Linked DNA regions of Astyanax mexicanus. The protein of the gene in region 2 purifies or fractionates together with the protein of the main gene of each other region. This does not show direct contact. Links are inferred from orthologs where the notes say so. Each region holds a gene or a part of one and is shown on either strand. Other genes may lie near its edges.

Region 1 (3,756 bases), on a different chromosome or scaffold from region 2:
CTTGATTTGGCTGTTGCTGAACAAGCTGTCTTTTATTTGCTTAAGTTGAATATTTAACACCCAGCAGTTTCATTCTGAGCTGTAGCACTATGGTCCAACTCACCAAGTTCCTGTTTAGAGGGTTACATCTGTGCCACAAACCTCAACTAATGCAGAATGCAAACATGCAAAAGCGTGACGATATTTTTTATTTGCATTGCATTATGTCCGTCTAAAAAAATAAACTATTAATAGTTGAGTAGAGTTTTGCATGTAAATGACAAATGCACGTAAATTCTGTCTTCTGTTCTGAGAGGCTGCTCTCTGACATGCCACATTTCCTAGCTAAAAAAAAGTCTTCACCTGGATTTAATTAAGCAAATTATGTGGGGTTGATGCTGAAGTTGGTCAGGTCTAGGTTCAGGAACAGTATGTGCTGAAAGAATGAGGTCAGCTGACTACCTGAATATAGACCAGATTATTTCACTGACAGCGAGACAGACCTCAATCAATCAAAAGCATGTGCATTATCTGTGTTCAGATTCATGGCTTAGCTGAACCCACACAGAGGAACCAGGCTGCTAATTGGAATAGTGTATAATGCTGTTAATGGACTTTTTAACACCACATATGCTCTTACTCTGGCTTCAATGTACTCAATCCTCCTCTCCAGGGCAGTCAGCTTCTCATTCAGGGTGGCTAGGCGGGACCTGCACGACATATCTGGTAAAGAAAGCAGAGAGATATTCAGAAACTGATTGTTACTCTTACTTTTGTACATAAGCATAGTTTATTTAGCAATTTTTTAGCAGTAGACATTTGTACAATATAGAAAAAAACATCCATTTAATAGTTGTTTTTGCCATATGCTGCCAGTCAAAATCATTACTGTCAACATACAGAAACAAGACAATATATAAAGCACATCCCAGATATCCATCACAGGGAATTGGCCACTTGTATTCTGGAAAAGGACCAAGCTATGCCGACTGCAATATTACAATTGGCCAACACTGGCTGAGCTACTTCAAAATATTTTCTATCTTTTTTATTACTGGTAGTTTCAATAGACCTATTCTTTGGTTTATCCAGTTAATGTGAAAAAGAGGGATTAAAGATGTGACCAGTCTATGTAAGAACCAGTTGGCTAAAAATATTTTGCAAATAAACAATTTTCAAGCGATTTCACTGTCGCAGACAAATTTCCAGTGTCAGGATAAAATCATAAGAGTGTTGCTAGAGTTGATTTGCGGTCGTGTCATCTTAATTGTTCAGTGTAAGATGGTTAGGATTGAAGTCAGTGTTTTTCGCGTCCTGACAATCAGATAAGACCAGATAAAATCGATCGTGTTAAATATTGTCGTAAGTTTTGAGACTTAGCTCACACAAATAGTGACCTGAACAATGTCAACAACCAATCGAAGAGCTACAGGAAGCTGCAAAGCAATATTACTTACTTTTTTACTTAATATTTTACGTGACTCTTCACAAACGATAAAAAAAAAAACACATTTTGCAGTTAATACGTCTTAAATGGACCTTACTTTAATATGTACAATACTTTAAACACAAGTAGCACTTTAAAGTCAATATATATAAAGTTATTTTATTTTGCACTACTTTGTCTTGTTGTTCAGTGTTATTTTTGATACAAACAAGTTTAATAAATACACATTTTGCAAGAATGGTGTTCTTAATTGCATTGATTCTATCTAAAACAAAGTTAAATAGGTATAGCAGTGAAACTGTGATTCTTTTCTTTTCAAGGTTGAAGCAAAAAAGTGAAAATAAGCAAATTGGCAGAGTTAAACACAAAATGTATTATATTAAAAAATATCAAGAAGTAACATTGTGACTAAAAAATAAACTGTTGATGGGCCAAAAGCTGTAAATCTCTAATAAATCACAGTATTGATGTACACATTATTTGTAACTCAAAATGTAATTCGACTGTATGTAATCTCCACCAGAAGCATGATGGTAAATAATCTCAGAAATAATCTAATTGCAGTCTTGCAAACAGTGATCCTCTGTCTATCTGTGAGTAAAAAGTCTGTGACTTGTCTTTGGGTGTCTACTGTCTTTTTAAAGTTCTCTGGTGTATGGTTAGCATTAGTCATACTGAGCTGCAGCGCCACCAGAACGCACCCAGAAAAAAACAGGAAGCTAAAAGAAGCTAGTGGTTTATATGTAGCTAAGGAGGTATAATGAGAAATATACATTTATATACACTGTACTGTAATATTAAAGACTCACATTTACGGTTTATTACACTCAAAAAGTTTATCTATCCCGCCAGCTAACTGCATTAACATTACTGTAGCCTGAGTCCACTATGTTTATGTTTATATTGACGGGCTAAGCTAGCTGGCTAGGTTAGCTAAGCTATAAGGCTAAACTAGCTCTCTAGGTGACGACTTGTCCTGTATAAATATGTACACTACACCCTCCCCAGCTCCAGTTACGCTCTAAATAACGAGCCAAAAGCCTGTGAACATATCTAAAAACAGGGATAACCCACATTAACCAGCTAATAGTTATCCATCCGCCCCTCCTCATTCCTCCACACGCTAGCTAACACCGTTAGCACCGCGGCTACCGCAGCTCACGGCCGGTTACACACAGCCCCCAGCCCGCTCCTCTGGCCGAACTCACCGAAGGAATTGAGGAAATCGGCTATTTTCTTGATGCTGCTGGTAATCACTTCGATATACTCGCGATTTGCCCAGTCCTGGTGGATTTCTCTCTGCACTGGATCCTCCTGTCCGGCCATGTTGATCTACTGAAGCCGCTGCGTTTGTTTTAGTGGCTCCGCAGCGCCGCCTGCAGCCAAACATGCGGCGAAAAACTCAACAGTATACGGCTCCTCGAAAAAGTGGGTCATTCTGCAGTTTATTCCATTTAAAAAAAATAAAGCAGATATTAAGCAGATATTATTGTTGTTTACCAGACATAAATCTTTATTATTTATCTCGATTTCTTTATCTTTAATAACAAAGTTTATATTACAAAAAAATTATGCAGTAATAAGGTAATTAGAATCAGACATTTTTTTTGTTCATCTTTATTTGACACTTCTCTATCAGCCATTTAACCAAAAGTTTTTGGACTTTAAAATTAAACCAACATTTTTTTGGACCTTTCTTTATCAGCCCAAATATTGGCATTCCACCATTTAACCAAAAGTTTTTGGACACTTCTTTATCAGCCCAAGTATTGGCATTCCACCGTTTAGCTAAAAGTTTTTAGATTTAGCATTTATTTAAGCAATATTTAAGCATTTAACCAAATGTTTTTGGACTTTATCTTTTAACCAAATGTTTTTGGACACTTCTTTATCCACCATTTAACCAAAACATTTCTTGATTTTAGCATTTAACCAAACGTGTTTGGACTTATACATTTAACCAAACGTTTTTGGACACTTCTTTATCATCCCAGGTATTGGCATTCCACCATTTAACCAAACGTTTTTGAACCTTATCATTAACCAAACGTTTTTGGACACTTCTTTATCAGCCCAAATATTGGCATTCCAGCATTTATCCAAAGGTTTTTGGATTCTAACATTAGACCAATTTTTTTGGAACCTTTTTAATCATCCCAAGTATTGGCACTCATTTTTTTTATTTTAGCATTTAACCAAACGTTTTTGGCACTTCTTTATCAGCCCAGGTATTGGCATTTCACCATTTAACCAAATGTTTTTGGACACTGCTTTATCAGCCCAAGTAATTGGCATTTCACTATTTAAGTAAACGTTTTTGAACCTTATCA
Region 2 (3,756 bases):
AGTGGTGGAACTTTTTTTGTCTTTGCTCTGCGGCGCAGTAAACTCACAGACCACTCGTTTGGTGTAAAATCACCAAATGCTCTCTCTCCTCTGCCAATCAGATCTGTGTAGACTGCTGCCCTGGCCAGTGAATTGGGACGCGGCCGGGAAAAACTTCTATATAAAGAGATCAGGAGCCGGAGAACTGGCTGAAAAACGAGAACGGACGGAAACTAAAGACACGCTGAGTGCGACAAAGAGACAGGAATGTACACACAATTATACAGGATATAGTTAAAAATGGCCCGGACCTTGCACTGACGAAATTTTCTCCAGCATTCAAAATCATAGACAACCTGTCAGGTAACAAACTGATGGATTGGTCACCTGTAATGTGGGACACTCATCAAAACCTGCTTTCACCTGTTACCTAATCACCTGATTATCATGAATTTATGAAATGTTCCAAAATATGTGTTCTGTATTGAATTACAATTTCTTAACTCATTTTGAGAATTGAGCAGACTATTCTGCAGATGATGACTTATACGATGAAATTGTGCTGACATGTTTTGGAGAGAACAACCATAACACTGAGAACCAACCAATTGGGATAGACCAACAAGATGCATTCTTTTGGAAAATGTGCTAAATGTAGGATGATTGTGTTAAGTGTAGGCTACTTGTACATAACCATTTGCAAAGATGTACTAAGTGCTTGAGACATGTACAAAGCATTTGAAATGTGATGAAAGCAATGAGAAATGCCATTCTGTTGTGAGGAACCGCAAGTTAGTTTGGGGATTTGTCCATATTATTTTGTAAATGTCATCTCAGTTTCAATAAATGAGCCAAACCAATGGAGAAAAACTGTAAGAGGGGGTGAATTGGAGTGGGAGGAATTGTCCAAAATACTGAGTATTTTTCCCAGCATCCTCCTCTCTGAAACCTTTAAGAGAGTCCAGCTCCACACCCAGTGCAGAGCCTGCTTTTCACCACAGAGTGATAAAACATCTTCAGCATTTTTTACACATATACAGTATTCAATAACTTGCGCATCACTTTAAATAATGATGTCTGTTTACAAATTTAACATGCTAAATTTGTTATGTAAGAATTAAAAATCTTAATAGCAATGGAAAATCAATCATATATATAATTAAAGAATATCGAGATTATTTTTATTTTTTACAGTATCGCCCAGCCCTACAACAGGGTGCTGTCCTGTTTCTCGTGCCTACACCTTTAAGCAGAGATTTGTGGAGCTTAAAGCGAGCATCTCTCCATATTTCGGATGTGTTGGAGCAGGCCCGCGGGTCAGGAATGCCCAGGCCGCGCTACTCCGCCGGGAACAGATGTTTTCAGCCCAAACGGGTGGAGCGCTGCTCTGCTCACAGCCACGACCACAGCCACACCCCTTCTGTACAAGACTGACAGCTGAATCAACCAATTGCGTGTGAGGAGCTACTTAAGCCGTCCAATGAAAAGTTAGTAAATCCGAGCCTCTGAAGTCAGCGCCCGATTGCTCTGGTGACGGCAGATGCGGACATTTTTCTCGGTTAGAGAGAGTTGAGCTGCGAGTTTCAGTAATGTTGAGGTAGTTAGCGAATTAAAGTGGTTGTTCGACTTCAGCAGAGAGGAGCTGTATCTTTCACCCTCGGGTAAGAGAGTTCAGGAAGTATTTTCAGGGTTTAATTCAGAAAAATAGCGAGTTTATGCTGTATTTTGGGCTGTTTAGGCGGCTAAGCTAACCTAGCTAACCAAAGATCTGGCTAGCTGCTAACTGCTTACTTCCTGCTGTGGAGCTCAGGGTGGGCCGCCCTGGGAGTTTTGCTCTCAGAAAGTTGAGAAGTTTGCCCTGTCTAATAGTTTGACGTCTAATATTTTACAGAATGCTTTAAAGTGCTTAAAACAGACCTTTATCTCTTTATTATCTGTCTAAACTCTTTCAAAACGAGTCTGATTTCGCTGAAGACTTGACTGTAAGTTACCTCCATACTGTGGCTAAGTTTTCTGGTTTATTATTAGCGTTAGCCATTATTTAATCCTTTCGATACGTTTTTGATACTGTACGTCTGTAGTCAACTAGTGAGTTAGGTAACTACATTTAGCGTTGTTTTATATCTGACTTCTGCTGTCACTTAATAAATGAAACTTCTGTTGGACGTTTAGTTAACGTTACCTTCATCTAGCTTGCTAGTACTTCCAGTTAGCTGTAAGCTAGTTCCAGGTCTTCTAAAGTCTGCTGTAAATATGCAGTAAATCTCAGTATGGATTAGCTACCTAGGTTAACTAGCCACTAGCTACTGTAATGCCTAGGCCTGCTATTTGGGTTGTTTGTAGCTACCTCCCTAAAGATTTGATCGTTTGTTTTATTAGTTTTTTTTAATTACATCTGGGTGTGTGTTCGTGTAGAGTTCTGTAAACTTCCTCTAAAAGAGGAAGGTCAGAGGACTTGATGGCATGCAGCTGTGTCTATGTTCCTCTGATAGTTACCCATATCAGCTGACAGTTATGGTGCTTAAATGTTATATTTAATAAAATAAAAAGTGTATTTTATGAAAGATGAAAAATATGTGAATGGCACTAGTCACTAACGTAAAACCTCAAACTTTTAAGATGTTTTGACATTTTGATTACAGCTGCAACTAATGATTATTTTGTTAGTCGACTAATCTGATGATTGTTTTTTGGATCAGTCAACATTTATTTCAGTCGTGACTTCCATTGCTTTAAAATGAAAAACATCTAAACGTAGGGTTTATATGCCTTTTAAATTACCAGAAGAGGTTTAAATGTGGACTATTATTTAGTGAGTAAATGTGCTATCTGTTGTGTTGGGGATCATTTACAGCATAGACATTCTGGTTTAAAATGCACATTACCATAATTTTACTCACTTTTCCTTTACCTATTGCACAACATTGGTCTGCACATACACATCTGTATTGCTGCACTTCATGCTTTACACCCAACAGTACCATTTTTTTCTTTTAACAGTATATATTAGACTACACATTAAAACTAAAAAAACATCATATTTCTGTATGTATCTATATGATAACAAGACAATATAAGATAACCATATTTACCATACTTGTGCTTGAGGCACAGATGGAATGTGGCCTTTACCTTAATACCATTAGTGTAGTGAACACGCCTATACACACCTGTGAGCAAGCTCACAACATATTTTGTAATCTCTCTTAGCTGGTCCTTTATTTTTTTTTAAATATGATTATCAGAGTTACTGATTACTATTAGTTGTACCATGAAAGACTAATTTAATTTGGCTTGATTTGAGCACCAGCACAATGGGCAATAGCTTTAGCTTGAATTGTTTTTTTGTTTGTTTGTTTTTTTCACAACACAGTGGAATTTAGTCACCACCTGATTTTGCAACATTTGGGGATTAAAGCATTGTGTGTTTGTTTAGAGTTGGGTCTAAACTGTACAGGAAAACATGTGCTTGTGAAAAGGTACTAATCAAGTGCCACTGTCTGAAAATATGCTGTTACATTTATAGATATATTTATCAGTCATATCACACTTTTTTATGTTAATTATACTACTTTAAAGGCTTGTTTCTATTTTTTTCTAGTATTCTATTCATAGTTTTATTACATTTTAGTGTTAAATAATGCTGTCCTGACAAGAGAGTCTCCCTGACCTTCCTTCTTTATGTGCTTGTATGTATGTCCAACAATGAGACAGTGTACAGAGTAACCCTAAACATTTCTATTTACCATAGTATTTCTAGTATATATAGTATATCTG

What was found.
Region 1: the proteins of wasf2 (region 2) and brk1 purify together in Homo sapiens (co-immunoprecipitation; 3 studies listed by BioGRID and IntAct, with this or other methods). This does not show direct contact. The link is inferred for Astyanax mexicanus from reciprocal best matches to the Homo sapiens genes WASF2 and BRK1.

The regions. Positions count from the first base shown.
Region 1 is NC_064431.1:28,748,264-28,752,019, reverse strand, and holds the start of brk1 (probable protein BRICK1), read right to left. Parts: upstream 2,799-3,756; 5' UTR 2,753-2,798; coding exon 2,635-2,752; intron 703-2,634; coding exon 620-702; intron 1-619. UniProt on the Homo sapiens protein: Involved in regulation of actin and microtubule organization. Part of a WAVE complex that activates the Arp2/3 complex. As component of the WAVE1 complex, required for BDNF-NTRK2 endocytic trafficking and signaling from early endosomes.
Region 2 is NC_064410.1:50,560,022-50,563,777, forward strand, and holds the start of wasf2 (wiskott-Aldrich syndrome protein family member 2), read left to right. Parts: upstream 1-1,494; 5' UTR 1,495-1,640; intron 1,641-3,756. UniProt on the Homo sapiens protein: Downstream effector molecule involved in the transmission of signals from tyrosine kinase receptors and small GTPases to the actin cytoskeleton. Promotes formation of actin filaments. Part of the WAVE complex that regulates lamellipodia formation.